Linked DNA regions of Mus musculus. The protein of the gene in region 1 interacts with the protein of each later gene in a pairwise test. Links are inferred from orthologs where the notes say so. Each region holds a gene or a part of one and is shown in the gene's direction. Other genes may lie near its edges.

Region 1 (4,196 bases):
TTCTGATTTCTTGTTCTTTTAATGATGCCCATCCTTTGAGCAGGACCATTGACTCAAACTGTCACATTCTAAGGTCCATAACATCACAAATGCTCCAGCATCATGTTGTCTACTTTAGAAAAAATACATACAAATACAAATCCAAAAGAGAAAGGAAACCACCATTAATACACAAAGATAATTTAAAAGCAAACTCTTTTAAAAAGTCCTACTCCTAGCCAGGAAGCTAGTCACGATTGATGCTGCTAGGAGAAGGGAAATATGTTTTCCTCAACCGAATGGCCCTTGGTATCTACCATACTCCAGGACAGGCCACATGTTCAGGAGTAGTTGACCTACTTGGACTCCACAGTTGGTTGGTTGGCTATCCATTTTTAGAGAGAGAAAGAACATGAAGTCGGGTGGTTGGGGAGGTGATGGGGACCTGAGAGGATTTGGGAAAGGAAAAAAAGAATAAAATATTCTTTTCCATATATATTATATGAGCATATATTGTATGAAATTCTCAAAGAATAAATAAAAACAATATTTTCAAAAACCATTCTTTCCTAACCATTCATGTGGTGGTGGTGGTGGTGGTGGTGGTGGTGGTAGTGGTGGTGGTGGTGGTAGTGGTGGTGGTAGTGGTGTGTGTGTGTGTGTGTGTGTGTGTGTGTGTGAAAAGAATTGACACTGATCCCACTTGCTCAATGGATCTCACCACATGTGAAACTTGACAGCCATGGGGCTTTTGAAGGCAAGAATATACATTGGATCTCTGTTCTTAGGACACTTGTTTGCACCTCTAAGACACAAATGAACATGAATAGTTAGACTGCCTCCAAAATTATAACATAACAGTATTGAGAATTATAAGGGTTGATTGACCTGTAAAGGTATTAATAAAATGGTAAGTTAAAAGGGTGTAGTATAGAAAACCTACACAATCTACCTTAATTTGGTGAGTCTTTACAACACCATGTACATCTGTATGTAACACGAATCCTGGCACACGAAAGTTTGCGAATCCTGATGAATTATCCTCAGTAGCAGTGTCCAGGTGTCCAGAGTGCAGGCACTTTTACTCCTCCTCTTTCTGTTCTTCATTGTCTGTGTTTTACAGTTGTACTTGTCTGGTTTAAAAGGCACTAGAACGTGGTGTGGCACTGCTTTAGTGAGGGTCAGAAAGCTAAGGGGCTGGAGAAAGGAACAAGAAGTGTCTGGAAGTGTCACTTCCCAGCATAAGTGAGTCAGAACACACTTCCCTGCATAAATACAAACTACAACGCATTCTCAAATTTACAAATGGGGTGAAAGTGCTTAATGAAAGGACTTTGGAACTATATAAAGATAGGATAGGCTCGCTTGAAGCAAGGAAGTAAAGGCACTTATAAATCCCAGATAAATATCCAAGATCAGAGCAGAACATATAGCTGAGAAAGAGAGAGCCCAGAGGTTCTGGGAAGCTGCATAGGTCCACTGAAACCACCCTGCCTTTCTCGGTGGGTATGGAACGGGGCTGATCTGTTTGGGTGGGTTTGCTGCCACATTCTACTCTCTGGGTGGGAGAGGTGAAGCCAATTCTTAAATCTGTATTGAGACAGTTGACGAATGAAAGAGAAACCCGGAGAGAAACAAGACAATTACTACTAAAGGCACTTCAAGCGAATCTATAGACACATACCCATGTGTGTAAATCTAATGCTAAGGATAGTGGATACACATGTATGAAATTCCATGAATAGTAACCGGCAAGCAGGAACCCTTGGTGACAGTGTCGTGATCGAGGGTCCACGCATAACAGAGACACTGAAACACACAGTTTCTGAATATGATTCACTAAAGAGGCTTCTTTATGGAAAATGAAGACTGGGAAATCACCCTTCACTGGGTCAGCATTTTTTAATATTTGCTGAAAGATGATATTTTCAGACATATGTCCTGCATGATTCGGTTGGAAGTGTCTATGAGTCACTGTGATGTTTCATTATATGCTATATAATACATTCTAAACAATAGTATCATTTTCCTTCTTTTCAAACAAAGGTGGAAAGGAGGTGGTAAGAAATTACAGTCATATTTTCCCATCTTTACTTGGATTAGTTCACCAGCTGGTTTTTCTCCTATTGCTATAGTCCTTATGCTTTATAATTCACCAGAACTTTGGTGTTTTTATTTATGTGTTTGTGTGCTTGAAAATGGTTGTTAGTTCTCATTTTTCAGAAAAAAGCTGGTTGTAAATAGCTTATCATTTGCTAAGAGAAAAAAATGTGCTAACTCCTTTAAAAAAAAAAAAGAAGAAGAAAAGAAAAGAAACAAAACTATGACAATAGACTCAGCACTGAGCTGACTGTCTTCCCTTTATGTGGATCCTCATTTTGACTGGAGGATCTGTTTGGGTCCTCATTTTGATTGAAGGATCAGTTTGGATCTTCATTTTGATTGGAGGATCACTTAATCCTGTTTCCCTGGCATCACTTCCACATCTACATACTAGGTCATTTTCATATGAACCAAAAAATGTAGAACTGGGTCATTTTCTAATCATTTTCTAAAACTTCAGCAGTTTGGGCACAAATCCATCCTGAGATGTGTTTTACAGAGTTAGGTATTAATAGTCTGTGTTCCATGTGAAACTTCCATGTTCAAAAACTAGATCACAGATAAGAAGTCTTAAAATTTCCCTAGCAAAGTTATCAGAGACAAAAAATACACACTGTGTGTGTGTGTGTGTGTGTGTGTGTGTGTGTGTGTGTCCCTCCCTCTCCTTCCCCTCTCATAGAACAATCATTTAATTCTATACTTTTTAAAGCCCAGGAAAATTCTTGTTCTGACTTTATACACCCATCTCCTGTCTCCTTGCTCTTGGCATTGACCTTTTGAAGTTCAACCCATTTCACCAAATGGACACGCATCCTCTATTTGAAATAAGATAATAAGAAATAAGATGGGTTCTAATAACACAATAGTCACTGCCATCACCAAGCTCTTGACCTATGCTGGGAACTCTTACAATGGCTTTATGAAAATTGTCATCATTCAACCTTTATTCTGGCCATTTGAATGGCAACATCTATCCTTTTACAGCATAGATACAGGCTAACAGAAATTTAATTGAGAAAGCTACTCAAGTGAAGTATCAAGTTGGAGACTAAAAATAGCTGGAGTAATATTTAGTCTTAGAAACTGCATCTATTTCTTGTCACTAGCCAGTATGTGCTCACTTGCTCTCTCTCCTATTTGCATAAAAATTGATGACAAGATGTCCTTTAATTTCTCTTCCTGGTAAATGTGTTATTTCTGTATGTTTTGTACTGCTTAGGTGACATAATGACATCTTCCCAGACTACCTACCCTGGAACGCGTGGCATTCCAAATCCTTGCCCACCAACAAGATCCATGGCTCCTCATCCTCCACAACCTCTGAATTTTTTAAACGTAAGAAACCAAGTACAGACTGGGCAAGTTTCCTTCATTACATCTCCAGGAATCTTCCCTAACACACAGCTGGGTCGAGAAAATGTGCCAACGGTAAATCCAGCTCTAGGAGCAGCAATAAGCAATGTTAAAGATGCAGCAATAGCACTTGGGGTAAGTGTATTTGCCACTAGGATTTTAATGTTGCATTTGCAAGGCTTTTATGCATCTGCCAGTTATAAATAGCATATCAACCAATGAGCAAACACATGTAAGGACTATTCTGTTAACTGTGTCTCTCTCAGAAAGAAATGGTCAATCTGTGTATGAGTCACCCTAGGTTCATTTATTTTAGATTCAGATACAAGTCTAAGAGTTGACAGAAGGCTCTCCCTAACAGGAAGATCCAGGAATGGTGACATGACTAGAGCCAATTACTTCTTGATTGGTCTCATTGCCTCTGAAAGTCTTTTTAGGAAACCTTACTTTTGTCTTGGATCAGTTATTAATCTACATTTCTATAAAGACAAATTAACTTTAAAACAATCATTGATAACTGTTTTAAAGGGAATGGCACTACTAGCAAACTGTCTGAGGAAAGCAAAGTGTAAAGTGTAAAAACTATCCTTGGAAATGCTATGTCTTTGTTGCTTTGATTTACAAAAGTTGATTTGAGCTGGACACCCATGGTCTTGTTTCTCTGAGCATTGTAAAGCACGAATGATTTGTAGTAAAGACTCAACATGCTTAGACAGAACTGACCATCGTTACTTAAGCTTTCCCCACACCTCTTCACACAC
Region 2 (4,235 bases), on another chromosome or scaffold:
CAAAAGAAAAAAAGAAGAAGGAATCTTTGCAGAATGTTAGTGATGGGGTGATTGAATAAATACTTAAAATTCCTGATTTGAGGATATTGAACTGTATTATCTGATGGGCAATATAGTCATGACCATATCCTTACAAAAGAGATGAGAGAGAGAGAGAGAGAGAGAGAGAGAGAGAGAGAGAGAGAGAGAGAGAGAGAGAGATATCTTGTGCATAGTAAGAGGAGAGTTGATGATACGAGGAGAGGCAGAGCTAGGTAGGGTACCAGAATCCCCTGCCGGCAGGTCATCTGTAATCCCAGCCTGCAAAGACCTGAGGTACGAGGAATGTCAAAAGCATGAAGTCAGTCTGGATTACAGAGCAATCTCCTGTCTCAAGACAAAAAGTGGGCAAAAGTACCCCAGAGGTTGCCTGAGCTCAGGACACCATGACTGTGTCTCCGTGATGATGCCTTTGCATATCTAGCCTCCATCACTGAGAAGAAACTTTTGTTAGGACCTTGAGCTTGTGATAAGTTGTCACAAGGAGCCATAGGATAGTACAGTCACCTACACAGCTTCTGTGACCTGGTCCTTACCCACTGGGGGTCAGTGTCACCCTCATGTGCTCAGCTCCAGTCCCTTTGGGGACCTGCTTTCTATTTCCCCAACTGCCTAGGTTGGTCCTGCCACTGCGCCTTTGCTCCTCACTTAAATCCTCCCAAGGTTTCCTCCTACTCACAGATTCAGGCCTCTGCACAAATGTCACCACTTCTGACAGGTCTTCCTTGACTAATGTGCTCCTTCCTTTTCTGTCAACTTAATACAAGCTATAGCAATCCAAGAGGAGGGAACCTGGATTGAGAAAATGCCTCTATAAGATCGGGCTCTAGGCAAGCCCTGTAGAGAATTTTCTCAGTGATTGATGGAGGAGGGCCCAGTCCATTGTGAGCGGTGCCATCCCTGGGTCCTGGGTTCTATAAGAAAGCAGGCTGAGCAAGCCAGGGGAAGCAAGCCAGTAAGCAGCACCCCTCCATGGCCTCTGCATCGGCTCCTGCCTCCAGGTCTCTGCCCTGCTTGAGTTCCTGTCCTGATTTCCTTCAGTGATGAGCAATGATATGGAAGCATAAGACAAATAAACCCTTTCTTCCCCAATTTGCTTTTGGTCATGGTTTTCTACCACCGTAATAGAGACCCTAAAACAACCATCTAAAAATCTCCTGGTCACTCTGCCTCGCCCTGTTAGATTCAGTCACAGCAGCAGTTGCCACTACCTGGATTTATTTTTTCCTGCCTGGCTGTCTGTAGATCGGTCTACGGACTTCTTCAAAATCTCTATCCAAACAGGCGAACCCAGGGTTAAGGGGCGGGGCCTCAAGAAGGGGCGGGGCCTCGGGCGGAGCGGGGCTGGGCTTCGCGCACCTGTGAGTTCTGTCTAGGGTACCCAAGCAGCGCCAGCAGCCGGAGCCGCAGTCGCAGCCCCGGAGCAGCGCCGGGAGCGCGGCCAGAGCGTCGTAGGCTCGCGATCGCTATGGCGGAGTTCCCGTCGAAAGTGAGCACGAGGACCAGCAGCCCCGCGCAGGGCGTGGGAGCCTCTGTGTCTGCGCTGCGACCGGATCTGGGCTTCGTGCGCTCCGCTCTTGGGGTGCTCGCGCTTCTGCAGCTGGTGAGCCGGGTAGCTCGGGGACTGGATGGGGGACTCTCCGGGGACCCCCGGGACGCTCACTCCCAAGATCGCCGGGAAGCTTGCACCTGGGGACGCTCGTGTGACATCCCTGCGAGCACAGCATGACTCTTGTGGAGGGGACCATACACACCCTACCCGGGTGGTTACCGTGGCGATACCGTAGCTGAGATAGCTGCGCACAACTGTCCGCCAGTCTGTCCCTTCTCTTCTACCCTTCCCCCTTCCCTCTGGGACCGTGCCCTGGCTTTCTCCGCCGGGCAAAGTCCACTGCCCTCCTCTTCACCCGGCTTTAACCACTAAATGCGACCGCTCTGTAGCCCTCCTGGACAGGGCAGAACACCACATCAGTGGCTCTGACACGCGCGCTCCCACCAGGGCACCTACCCAGGGTCTGCTGGTCGAATCTCCTTCCTTGGGCTGTGGAGATTCGCAGAGGCAAGAAACCACGTGTCTGCCATCCCCCGTACTCTGTGCAGGTCCCAGCTGAAGATCCTAGAGTTGCCCGTTCCCATTGGGTGCATTCTGAGATGTCAGCTGTCTTTTCATAGTCCCCTCCTGCGAGGGTCTGGAGGCCTGTGGCTGCCCCTAGGGAACGGTCTCCATTAACTGAGAGGTCCGCTGGTAGAGGAATAGGGTAGCACCGCAGGTGGGCATGCATCTGTTTCTGTCATCATCCCTCCAGTGGGCACCTCGAGCCAGGCTGCCAGGCCGGGCTGGGGAGTCGGGAGGCTTTCCTGGGCCATCTCCACCTAGGGCATACATACTATCTTGGTTTCGAGATTTCTGATCTTCCTTGGTGAGCCTTCGCCCTTCCCCCTTCCCCCTTCCCCCTTCCCCCTCCGTCTCCTCCCTGGGTTTGTTTAAAATTCAGATTCTTGGGCCCCAACCCCGGAAAAAATGTGAAACTGCTCTTTGAATCTCCAAAAGCGCAGCAAGAAATTTGCATTTTAATGTCTTCTCCTGGAGTGGTTTTGGGTACTGTTTGGTTTTGATGAGATCAGGGAGGGTAGCATGAGGCTCTCTTCTGGGACCAATTTAACTCTGCCGCGCAGACACTGCCGACCCTGGAGTGTTGGGCTCTTGGTGATTGCCTTGTTTGTTTTATTTATTTTGTTTGATTCAATTTGTTTCTGTTTTTTTGAGACAAGAGTCGCATATAGCCCAGATTGGTCTTGAATTCCCTCTTAGCCACAGCTGGCTTCCAATTCCTTGTGTAGCGGAGGCTAGCCTTGGACTAGACCTTCCCCAAGTGTTGTAATTACTTTCTGACACCACCACTCCAGGGGTTTTTCTGGTCTCTTTGAACCTCACACCTGAGAGTCAGCTTTGGGCTGGGGGAGGAGTTAAACGGTTTGTGAAAGGGACAGAGAGGAGAGAGGTCTAGGAAGGAGTTACGGGGAGGCTAGAAGGGTAGTTTTTGAGCTAAGCCTTTGCAGGGAGTGGTGTGGGGACAGCAGACACTGTAGTGCACAGGCTGAGCGGGAGTTGTAGCATCGTTTCTGGTCTGGCTAGGAGCCCAGCATCGTAAGCATCTAGGGCCAGAACTGGGGTCCTGGTTGTGTTGGTGGTCTTGGTAGGTTCTGGAGCATGAAGACATCAGGGTGTGAAATGATAGATCCCTTTTACTCTTTTCCTCCTTCCCTAGATTCGTTCCAAAGAACTCACTTGGAGACTATGCCAGCCGCTGCTTCCTAAGATGTTTCTGTGGCAACCTACTACTCCACTGGGGCCGAGGGGGGAGGGTGGGCAGACAGGTACCATACTTGCTGGAAAGCCACAACAGCACACTGGAGGCTGGTTGTTCTAGACCTTTTGACTAGGTGGGTTTAGTTTGTTTGTTTTAGTTGTTGTTTGTTTGTTTGTTTTGTGGGGTTTTTTGGTTTTTTGGTTTTTTTGAGGGGGGGTTTGTTTGTTTGAAAGACAGGGTCTCTCAACATAGCTTTGGCTTCCTGGGGAGCTGTTTTCTGACTCCTCCTCGGCCTCTACTCTTTATGTTGGTTTGCTCTTACATTGTGGGGTGTGGCACATCAGAGCAAGTGGAAGAGGCTCCATGCCTAGTGCCTGCCCCTGGGGATCAAGGAAGGCTGCTTGGAGGAGGCAGTAGCTGAGGAGATGGAGGTCTTTGCTGGCCAGGTTGCTCTGTCTACTAGGGTATAGAGGGCCCTGCAGCGATGGAAAGATGGATGAGAAGCAAGGCCAAACTTCTGGAGCAAAGCACTGCTCTTCATCTAGCATGGTAGTTCATCTACAGAACCTGACATCTACAGACATCTGATGGCTTTTACTACTCCATAACTGCCCATACCCATCTAGCTCCAGAAAGGATACTGGATGGTGCTATTAATTGTTAATACAGAAGAGTCAGTGTATTTCTAAAGCCTGACTTGAGAGAACTTTTAAAGAGACATCGCCTAGCAGGAAACCTGCAAGTTTAAAATGTTGGCTCAAGGCTGAGCTTCCTGGTAACATAAACAAAAAAAGAAACATGAATCTTCATAGCTATCGTCTAAACAGGCAGGCAAGTTTGACCTAGAGACAATTCTTTTGCTTCATGTTACAGTTCTTTGTGAAG

The links. The genes of interacting proteins can lie anywhere in the genome.
Region 2: the proteins of Ms4a12 (region 1) and Pllp interact in binary tests that used the Homo sapiens proteins (3 or more experiments, as listed by UniProt). The two-hybrid records come from large-scale screens. The link is inferred for Mus musculus from reciprocal best matches to the Homo sapiens genes MS4A12 and PLLP.

What each region holds. Positions count from the first base shown.
Region 1 is NC_000085.6:11,229,654-11,233,849, reverse strand, and holds the start of Ms4a12 (membrane-spanning 4-domains subfamily A member 12), read left to right. Parts: upstream 1-1,396; 5' UTR 1,397-1,481; intron 1,482-3,301; 5' UTR 3,302-3,309; coding exon 3,310-3,570; intron 3,571-4,196. UniProt on the Homo sapiens protein: May be involved in signal transduction as a component of a multimeric receptor complex.
Region 2 is NC_000074.6:94,693,443-94,697,677, reverse strand, and holds the start of Pllp (plasmolipin), read left to right. Parts: upstream 1-1,435; 5' UTR 1,436-1,507; coding exon 1,508-1,642; intron 1,643-4,235. UniProt on the Homo sapiens protein: Main component of the myelin sheath that plays an important role in myelin membrane biogenesis and myelination. Plays an essential function in apical endocytosis. Regulates epithelial development through the regulation of apical endocytosis.